3 linked regions of the Cricetulus griseus genome follow. The protein of the gene in region 3 purifies or fractionates together with the protein of the main gene of each other region. This does not show direct contact. Links are inferred from orthologs where the notes say so. Each region holds a gene or a part of one and is shown on either strand. Other genes may lie near its edges. The genes, in order: protein argonaute-3, Cnot7 and Tnrc6a.

Region 1 (3,752 bases), on a different chromosome or scaffold from region 3:
AATATTTTTAGTGAGGAATGCGCCATCATAAAATTATTATACTTGTATTTAATGTCCTCTATTGCACTAAATAAAATTAAGATTTCTGTGTATCCACATAATAAACAATCTGTCGGTAAATGATTCCTGAGAATCTCCATACAAAAGAAAAACAGAATTTGAGAACCAAAAGTTTCAGTACTAACCTAACAGACTATTAAAGAATATCTAATTGTTTTGTTTTGTTTTGTTTTGTTGAGACAGAGTTTCTCTGTATAGCTTTGGAGCCTGTTCTGGAACTCACTCTGTAGACCAGGCTGATATTGAATTCACAAAGAACCGCCTGCCTCTGCCTCTGCCTTCCAAGTAGTGGGGTTAAAGACATGTGCCACAATGACTAGCCCAAAGAACCATTTTTGATGGTAACAGTCTTGCTCCTGATGCCAGACAACAGTCAATCATGCATAAACCTTATTGAAGAATGACTTTTATGTTTCAAGATGACCAAGCATGGTTGATAAACTGTTTTGTTTTAATTTTAGTTAGTTTGTTTGTTTGAGACAGGGTCTCATTATGTAGCCCCGGCTAGCCTGGAACTCTTTATGTAGACCAGGCTGGCCTCCAACTCAAAGAGATTGAACCATCTCTGCCTCCTGAGTGCTGGGACCAAAGTGTGAGCCACTATGCCATGCTAGTTAACTATATCTACCCTTATGTGAAGACTCATCAATTGTTCTATATTCTATCAGAAGAACACCCCAAAGGAAAAGGTAAAATTGATTTTCTGAACCAGGCTTTGCTAACTGTATCAGCTGACTAGGTGGTCTGATATCACAAGTACTTTCTAGATCGTATTTTCACATGAAAAACCTAAAGGGGGAATACCTCATTAGGGGGAGATATCTTCAAAAGTTTTAGGTAGATGATTAACAAAATATTTAATTTCATATTTGGTTTTTCAGGCTTAACAATAGAGTAGTTATGTAAAAGTCAGATCTCTGGAAATAATCAGATATCTTATAAAGTAAGAAAAGTACAAATAAAATGTAAAATTTAAGAACAAAGAAAAGACAATGGAAATACACAAATTGATAATAAGAGTCTAAAACTTCAGTCTAGACAAATTTTGCTTTTTAGAAAAATATGGAGAAGAGAAGCCGGGCATTGGTGGCACATGCCTTTAATCCCAGCACTCGGGAGGCAGAGGCAGGCGGATCTCTGTGGGTTCGAGATCAGCCTGGTCTACAAGAGCTAATTCCAGGACAGCCCCCAAAGCCACAGAGAAACCCTGTCTCGAAAAACCAAAAAAAAAAAAAAAAAAAAAAAAAAAAAAAAAAAAAAAAAAAAAGAAAGAAAGAAAGAGAGAAGAGAAAAAATGGAACATAAAGGGAAAAATGGTAGAAACAGAGTAGAAAGAGATTCCATGTAATCCAGAAAATGCCTTTTTGTATCCATTTTGACAATTATGTCACTAGTTTGTTTTTTTTTACATTAGTTTACATTACATATTTGGGGACTTTCAAATTGGCAAGGGAAGATATGAAATTCAGGGATTTGTTATACAATAATAACAAGGCAATCCCCCCAAATATTATAGAAACTATACCATTACTGATCTTGTGGATGAAGAGAACTTTCAAATTTAGGGAACAAGGGTGATTACTTGGTAAGCAAACCGTTATGTAACACCTATTTCTTGTTGCTTTATCAGTTACTTCAGAATCGCTGACCTTTCTTTCTTTCTTTCCCTCTCTCTCTCTCTCTCTCTCTCTCTCTCTCTCTCTCGTCTCTCTCTCTCTCTCTCTCTCTCTCTCTCTCTCTCTCCTCTCTTTCTTTCTTAGGACAAGTACTGTCCAGGCTGGCTTCCTTTCTCAAGGCTGCCATTTTTCTCTCCAGAGACAAAACCGTTTTCCTACACCCCAGATTTCCAGGTATGTGGACAACTGCTGCCGTAGGGAACAGAAAATCGGGGGAAACAGTGCCAACATTCTGAAGATCTACCTTCTCACATAAGTGGTGATCCAGACCGAGAGGACCTCGCCAAGCTCCTCGGAAAACTACATACCACACTGCCACAGACAGAGTGAGTCTGGGGATGCAAGCAATGCCGTCCTGCATCTGACTTAAACTTAAGCCCATCGGTGATCTCAGAATACCTTCAGACTACTTTAAGAGGTAGAAAAGGGGACTGACTATCCAGCCTACATGGGACGCGCGACCCGGCTAAGGGATAAGCGCTGCCTTGACGTTTCCAAATGGAATTACAAAAGCAAGGGCAAACTCCTCTGTATCCTCAGGGGAGAAGAAGCACTCCAGGGGGATGACATCGCCTAGATAAACCCAAACTTAAACCCTCCTGGTAGTTTTGCCAACTCAGTGGCCCCGGGAGGGTAGCTGCGGTGCTGTGGAGAAGCCAGCGGCGTTGGGCCCGAAAACCAACGGCTCCCTTAATGAAGGCGCAAGGATGCTCGGGGGACGACCGTTGGGTGACGACCCTACCTGCCCCGTCCGGCAGCCCCGACTTACCTGCGGAGCCGATTTCCATTCATGGAGCTGGGGGCAGTGCTTCACGAGAGAACGGTGCGGCCACTGAGGCGAGGAAGGGGCGCCCTGCGAAAGCTCAGGGCAGAAGAGCCACTGTCGGGAGACAGCCCGCAGCTAGGCGAGAACAGAGAGAGGCGTGAGGCGAGGACGCTGAAGCCCGGTCCGGAACTTGCGTCGCACACGGTTGCTGACGCGTGCACAGCTCCCCAAACCGCCGGCCACCGCCGTTGCTCGCTCTCCCGGGTTGCCCCCGGAAGCCCGCCCGCGTCAGTTCCGCTCCCCGGACCGTGCCCCGCTCGCGGGGTCCGCAACTCGCCTGGAGCCGGATCTGTGCGGTGACAACGTCCGAGCCGGCCTGGCCAGCGCATGGAGGACTCTGGGGAGGTGTGGGAGGGTGAGCGAGCGGGTGACAGGCCGGGGCGGAGCCGTGAGAGCGCGGCCGCCCAGCACCCGCTGTGCCTGACGGTGACAATCCCGAGCCAGAGGCCAGCCTCCCCCGTGACAGCCTTCCAGGCGGGGACCGGTCGGGGCCGCTGCCTGAGGCGACGTCACTGCCAGCCCCGAGGAGCTTACCTGAGGGACAGTTCTACCTGAGAATGACAGATGACCATCCAAGGACATCCTCCCTCCTAGCTCCGCCTGCCACGCCCGCTCTGAGCACAAGTACTAGGCGGTAACCACAAGAGATTTCGCTAAGTACCCGAGGTTGCTTTGACAACTTTTTTTTTTTTAAAGATGGTTAAAATAAATTCAATGTAGTTTTAAAACAGAAGACTAAGAAACAGGACATTACATAGAGTACAAGAAGGAATCATTTCTGTGTTTAAACACTCTCCTAATCCCCTTGAAGAACATAAACTCCCTTCTGGCGTTAAAGCACCTGGCTAAGGAGCCAAGGCCTTTTCCCTCTGGACCCCTCAAGACTGTATTAGACTAAGCTGGTCCACTTCCAGCTCCCCCGACCTGGTCAGGTGCTTTTCTGCTGAATTGGAGCCTTTGGGTTCCCTTGGCCAGGAATTCTCCCTTTCCCATCCCATGCCAAACTTTCACTTAAGTCATCTCCGGTGGCCTTTCCTGGACACTGGTCTACCCGATCTGTAGGATGTGGACTACTTTTTGACCTGCCTCCAACCCATCAGAATCGGAGGCCAGATCCAGCACATGCAAGCAGACCATCCTTTTAAAATTACTTAGCTTAGTGAAAACAGATACTATTTTATGCAGGCTTA
Region 2 (3,652 bases), on a different chromosome or scaffold from region 3:
CTCAATTGTTGTTTTCACATAGTATAATTCTCCAAGAGATATTATCAACAGATATTAAACATGAAAGGTAGGAACAAAGAAAAAGTGAAAACTGTTTTTTCTCCACATGATACAACCTCCTGCTATCTCAAATTGAGAGCATACAACCTTATCACTAGTCTTTCCACAGATGCCTAGTTTCCTCCACTCCTGAACTCCTTAAGATACAACTTTCTATTAGGCCTGCGACAGCCCGCCTTCCCTGAAGTGTCCGATTCCCAGAGATTTTTCATACCACATATATTTGCTGGTCCTGACCTTTAGGTACATGGATTTTCTCCACTAGTTTAAAGGACAGGACTCAGAGTTATAAAGTATCTTTCCCTTGCATATAATTTGAACTCTTAATTGGCAAATGACTTCTCTTTTGGAGGAGACACAAAATAAAACTTTAATTTGATTCTATTTACTTTGAATTTGAAAGGGGAGTTGTTTACCATACAAGATCTTTAATACAAGTACCTAAGAGAAGAAAACTTACATTTGTTAGTTTTCAAAGAAATGACCTTGCCAAGTTACCTAAACAACAGCACAATGGCTTTTGCTTACTTCTAGCAAAATATTTCAGTTTAGAATACACACACACACTATATATACACACACATACATATGTAGACATATATATGTATAATTTACTTATCCATGTTTTTTGACTGGGTTTTACTATGTAGCTCTGGCTGGGCTGGAAGTTACTATGGAGATTAGGATGGCCTGAACTCCAGAGATCTACCTGCCTCTGCCTCCTAAGTACTAGGATTAAAGGTACCATGACTGGCAAGATTTATTATTTCCAAAAATATTAATAAAAACAGATTAGAATATGGAAAATATTTGTGATGTTTAATGGAATAATTTTATAGTTTTATACATACATATACTGTACACTAATGTAGACTAAAATGTTGAATAAAACATGAACCCTGCTTGGTTTTGTCCATTTTGCTACCCCCAGTTCTGAGTCAATAGTACTTATTCAAAATATTGTTTGAGTCAGTGGATGTGTTATACAGTATAAACTAAAAGAATTGGTTATTTTGTATCTTTATAAGTATGAACATAGATAAAAGTTAGTATATGAGAATTCTTCTTTCTTTTTTAAAGCTTCATTTATTATGTATACAATGTTCTGCCTGCATGCAGAAGAGGGCACCAGGTCTCATTATAGATGGTTGTGAGCCACCATGTGGTTGCTGGGAATTGAACTCAGGACCTCTGGAGGAGCAGCCAGTGCTCTTAACCTCTGATCCATCTCTCCATTCAGAACTTACAACTTAAAACTCACTATATAATACCACATCAAGGTCTACTTCAGGAACCATCCAACATTATAATCATTTCCTGTGGAAGATTCTTATCGGAAAAAAAAAAAGTATGAAGCCTATCAAGATTAAGAGCAGTAAGATCTGGGGCGGTGGTGGCACATGCCTTTAATACCAGCATTGGGAGGCAGAGGCAGGCAGATCTCTGTGAGTTCAAGGCCAGCCTGGTCTACAGAGTGAGTTCCAGTATAGGCTCCAAACTACACAGAGAAACCCTGTCTGGAAAAACAAACAAACAAACAAATGTCTCTTTCTACCATTCCTCTGAAGAGACAGGCAGATCTGTCTGTCTCTCTCTTTTCGTCTCCTCTCTCCCTTCCCCCAATAACTCTTCTCAATAAAAAAAAAAAAAAAAAAAAAAAAAAAAAAAAAAAAAAAAAAGAGCACTAAGACCAGAGTAACACATTGTTGCTTTGCTGTTGTTGTTGTGTGTTTTTGTTTTTTGAGAAAGGGTCTGATTGTATAGCTCTGACTGGCTTGAGTTAAAGATGTGTGTCACTATGTCCAGCAACACAGTACTTTTCAAATAGAGACAGAAACCCTATTATCAAATAGTCAAATTAATTAAAAAAAAAATCAAACCCATAACATCAAAGGTCACTTTTAGTTCCAGAACTGCCAAATCAGCTGATTTATAAAGAAAAACATTTTCTCACACATACAAATAAATTAACTTTTAAAAAGGTGAATTAACTTCCTCGTAGAAACTTTAACTATCTAGTTTTATTTTATAATAATAAAGAATTAAAAGTAATCATATACAGAGTATATAAAATACTAGATGCTTTAAATAGGTTATAATTGACTACTGAGAAACATCTACAAGATGTTTTTCCTTAAGGATAGCCTTCCCAATCACCTCATCCAAAAATATAATTAAAAATCCCCTAATATCCCTTCTTTGAATTCTCTGTTATCAGTTGTTTTTCATAGAACTTATTATTATGTAACAAACCACACTAGAAATTAGGTCAAAAAGTATTGGTTTACCTTCAGCAGAAAGGAAACTACCTAGGAAGGAAAAATTTAATCTGTTGTATTAAGTTTTAGAATCTTAGTACAGTAGCTAAGATCAGGAAAGTACTACTAAGCTTTTAAAAAACGGCTTTCTTTCTATAAATACAAAAACTAATGTTTAAATTTATTAAGAACCATGGGTGACACAAATCCTCAATGGCTTTGCCAGGTTTCACTGAAGGTTTCTTCTTGCTTATATTCTTTCCACTAAGCACCATTACCTCTCAAAGGCTAAAACAAATCCTTGCTAAGAGGTAATGTAAACAAACAAGGTTATTCTCAAGTGAGGCATAAGACAGTCTCTCATGGTAGTTAACTAACATGTTTTTAGAACTAAGCATAGAATTTCTGATACAGAGACTCAATCAAGTATAAACAAGAGATAGGAGGGAAACACACTGCAATCTGTTTATTTATTTACCTATGAAATGACAACCATTTGACCCCTTCACAAAGAACCACTCCTGAAGTCATAAGAAGTTCTGCAAAGTACTGGGTCTCAATTCCTTCCTCCTCGTGTTTTTTAAACTGGATACCAGATGTTGTTAGTAGCTCTATAGAGTCCTGAGCATACATGTCCTCCCTGGCAGGAGAAAGAGAAAAATAATGTTCAAGACCACCATTAAACAGCCATTCTCCCACTTACACCTACAACTATAGTGCACAAACAGACATGATTGGTTTATGTCCAACTATCCAAATGCTTACAACTCTTAAGAGAAACAAAATGTAAAGTATCCAAAAGTAAATAATCATTCACAATAGTCCAGTGGTGAGTCCCTTAGCATCAACTCAATTCCATTAGTATCTACACATCATATGCATTTCCCTGGCTTACAAAGGGTCTTTTACTCACCAGAGGCTACCACAGACATGCTCTGTTCAGAGGCTCTCAATCTCTGCAGCTAGGTTAGTGCTGCCAGATGGAGCTGCAGCCACAGCTATGAGGGGTTTTCACACCTCTCATGCTCTCAGCAGAACCAGGAAGGAGACACCAAGTGGCAAACATCTCTTGTGGCTGAGTTAAACTATATTCCATCTTAAAGAAAAACGAGATGCCTCCTTTCACAAATGAGGAGCCTTTCTGTGGCTCTATTAAGCAGTAAACTCTTCAGAATTAAGGACTCAGCAGGTTCTTCCTCCAGCAATAACATACCTACATCAGAGGCAAACACAATCCTAGAAGACTACCTTCTAAAAACCAAGCCAAGAAACCTAACCATAAACCAGCTCTTCAAAATTTTACTTAAGCCAGAAAACAGCACAAATATGGTATC
Region 3 (3,652 bases):
TATCCACAGTCGTGGCAGGAGTAGAAGGCTCTCCCCAGGGCTCACCCCAGCCTTTAGGAAGTGTGGGAAAAGAAGTCATCAGCATGCATATAAGGAAACACAGCAAATAAGGAAGTATTTAGTAAACCAAATGAAGAACTTCACATTCATATACTGAATAATGACGCTGTGACAAGCATGAGGCATAAATTATTCTGCACTAATATAATTTAACTGTATAATGTTTAACCTTTTCTTTCAAAACTGCCTTCTGATGCTAGGGCAGATTCTTTTGAATAATTCAATTACTACGGCAAATTATCTTCCTTTGAGGATGAAGTTAGTATCTAAAAATACAAGTTCTTCTGAACCTGAGCAGGCGTGGGGTGAAGGGTTCTACTAGGCACACCTTACTGAAAGGACACCCTTCCCACAGCACTGTAATGGAGAACAACTGACTATACAACTACCAACAGGCAAGCAACCTACTCTATACACACTGGATAATGTTCATTTAAATGTACCCAGGAAAAAAGGTGTACACAATTACATTGAGGATGTCTAAACGTTCCCCCCACCATGCAAAAAGCCACAAAAAAATTTGTTTAAAGAATGAAAACAAAGATGCCTGCCCTAAAAGTTAAACATAAATCAACAGCCTAGACTCATATTTAAAAAACAAACCACAATTAAGTACCAAAAGAATTCATCAAAACATTGCCACTTCTCTGTCCAATGAAACATTACTCAACAAAACTCCCATTAACAAAGGAAATATTAGCCTGTAACATTTACAGAAAATGTTGTCGTATCAATTTACACAGAAAAGAATTTGCTCAGTATAGGAGAGGACTATACTGGAAAGATACAGTGCACTGTTTTAGGCACACACACTATATCCACTGTTATCTGAGTAGATGTGGACTTCTAATCTAGAATTTAGATGTCTAATTTAGAAAAATCCTCTAAAGTCAAAGACCAAATATCTACCAGTACTGTATTCAGGCACTTGGCTTCACTGTATTTCAGTAATAAAACCAAACAGTTAAGTCTTGACTCAGAATAACTGAAAGACGTATGTAATATTGCCACCTAACCCCGTCTACATTCCTAACAGAGTACTAAGATTCACAGCAACACTGCCTGGTGAAAACAACCGACTCTCGGAGCACAGCTGAAAGGCCTCCATGTGCATATCCAAGTGCTCTGCTAAACAAATCCTATGACAGCATGTCAACACAAAGCTTGCTTCCAGAGTACTACTGGACTCCAAAGATGAACACTTACCAGAGCCACTGCTTGCCTCCTTGCTTGAGACAGTGTTTGCAGATGGCAGCAACCGATGCATCTGTGCTTGCTGGTCTGAGCGGCTGCTGCCATCTGGGATGTTTTTATTCCACATGTTCACATTTTTGTAGTTGTATTTGCTCGGATCTCCCCAAGCTGAAGTTCCATCGTCAATCTCCATTTTTCGTCGTATAGATTCTGGGGATGGCTCCTCCCAGCCTGTGGGTTCTTCCTCCTTTGTTGGAGCTGGAATAGGTCCTCCTAGCCAGCCTGTACCAGGAGGCTTGCCAGTGGCTGGTGGGATTCCCCACGATCCAACAATGTCTTGTTGCTTGTTCCAATCTGGAGAACTAACTGGTTTTGATGAATCTCCCCAACCGAGAGACTGATTACACTTTGGAGGGTCTCCCCATCCCTGGGAAGAATTAGGTTTAGAAGAGTCATCCCATCCTGATGAATTATTTGGATTTATATTATTTCCCCAAGTAAAAGAACTAGTTTTACCAAGTTCATTCCAACCAGAAATGGACCTGTCACTGTCACTACCTCCTGAGCTGGATTTCTTATTAGTCTCACCCCAATGGTTACTCCTGGAAGTTTCTCCCCAGTTATCACTGGCAGAAATGGACCAACCTTGGTTTGACTTTTGTCCATCACCCCACCCTTGTTTGTTCTTTTGCGAATCATTCCATGCAGACTTCTCTTCTTTGCAATTCCCCCACTGATTGCTCTTGATCATTCCTGTAGCAGCAGAATCATCTTCCCACCCCCCCTGGCAGTTTGAGCCTTTGGAATCTCCCCACCTCAGAGTAGGTTTGGGATCACCCCACCCTGATACAGATGAGGTATCATTACTATTAGGGCTAGTCTTATCTATACATGCCCCTGAGTTAAAAGTCTGTGTTGCAGAGCTTCCCCAGGCCTCTGTCCCATTGTCAGTCTTTCTTTCCCCTCTTGGTGATGTCTCTGTATCCCAGGCAGTATTCTGCTTAATAGGAGTCTGTCCCCAACCAGAGTTGGATAGGACACGTGGATCTAAGTCAGTTCTGTTTACAATGCTTTGGAGTAATGTGTGCTGATCAATTTTTCTTCTATCTCTACTCTGACTTTCCCCAGTTACTTTTTCATCAAGGCGTCCAGTGCTCTCGGTACTACCATCACTCTCCACTGTGCCTCCTGTTTTGGCCCACACACTGTTTTGCTCATTTGTCTGAGACGTGGCAGAACCCTGATCCTCTTCCTCAGTAGATTTCCATCCATTTGTAAACTTCTTACCATTGCCATTTGCACTATCATTGGAATGCTGATTGCTAGGCAGTTTGTTCCATTCAACACTGGGTAGACTAGTGCCAGTGTTCTGTGCAGGACTTCCCCATCCTCTTCGACTTCCTCCAGAATTCGCACCATTTCCACTTCCCCATGGTGAACTCTGGGAATTTGTTGTCCCAGGCTCCCATACACCTCCCCCTTTATTTGTGTTAATTTGAAAGTTAGTGCCCATAGGCCCATTTATGCCAGGCTGCATTAGAGTTGCATTCACAGTGTCACCATTGGCTTGGCCATTAGGGCCTGCACATTTGTCGCCAGAGTAATTAGAACCATAGGCACCCCATGTAGTACCGTAGGAGCCTCCAGTTTTTGACTCTCCATTGCTAAGGTGAGAAAGGGAAGTGCCATTCATAACTGACGGAGCCTGTATCTGAGGATGATTCATTGTGCTCACACGCCAGGCCCCTGGATTACTAGTAGGCAGTTCATTATTCTGTACTGAACCGGAGTTTGGTAAACTAGAGGTCATAAAGTTAGTAGTGTTATTTGGTCCAGTTGTTTCAGTGGTGATATTCTGAGGTTGACCACTGAACGAAACCTTCTGTGTACCACTTACTTCAGGGTCACAAGTTTCCTGAAGGCTGCCCCAGGTACCATGGGTAGAAGAGCCACTGACTTTAGAGTTGATACTCTGATTGTTAGGCATCTGGCCTATGGTACTACACTGAATATTGATGCCAGAACTCCCACTCCCTACAGGCCCTTTTAGGGCAAGTCCATTGTTTTCTAATACTGGCCAGGCACCATGGTTGCTAGCTGAATTCAAAGTGCTTGGATTTAACCCTCCATTTGATGAAGAACTTACAGTGCCCCAAGCATTCATTCTATTGTTACTACTTTCTGATTTGCTTTCAGGAGCATCCACAGAGACCTGACATGTGCTTATTATGGCTCCATGGGGGAAGCCCCATGGCCCAGTACTACTTCCATGGCCTACATTATTGCTGCTGCTACCAACCACAAACTTGCTTTGAGAACTGAGTCCAGTGCTATTCCGAAGGCCATCTTTTTCACCACCTGTGTTCCCTGAAGCCATGACAGTGATGTTTCTCTCTGA

Evidence for each region.
Region 1: the proteins of Tnrc6a (region 3) and protein argonaute-3 purify together in Homo sapiens (affinity purification with mass spectrometry; 7 studies listed by BioGRID and IntAct, with this or other methods). This does not show direct contact. The link is inferred for Cricetulus griseus from reciprocal best matches to the Homo sapiens genes TNRC6A and AGO3.
Region 2: the proteins of Tnrc6a (region 3) and Cnot7 purify together in Homo sapiens (affinity purification with western blotting; 3 studies listed by BioGRID and IntAct, with this or other methods). This does not show direct contact. The link is inferred for Cricetulus griseus from reciprocal best matches to the Homo sapiens genes TNRC6A and CNOT7.

Annotation. Positions count from the first base shown.
Region 1 is NC_048595.1:26,617,087-26,620,838, reverse strand, and holds the start of protein argonaute-3, read right to left. Parts: upstream 2,713-3,752; 5' UTR 2,525-2,712; coding exon 2,506-2,524; intron 1-2,505.
Region 2 is NW_023276807.1:45,222,950-45,226,601, reverse strand, and holds part of Cnot7 (CCR4-NOT transcription complex subunit 7), read right to left. Parts: exon of another isoform or gene 3,232-3,652; intron 2,959-3,231; coding exon 2,797-2,958; intron 1-2,796. UniProt on the Homo sapiens protein: Has 3'-5' poly(A) exoribonuclease activity for synthetic poly(A) RNA substrate. Its function seems to be partially redundant with that of CNOT8.
Region 3 is NC_048596.1:77,543,408-77,547,059, forward strand, and holds part of Tnrc6a (trinucleotide repeat-containing gene 6A protein), read right to left. Parts: coding exon 1,267-3,652; intron 52-1,266; coding exon 1-51.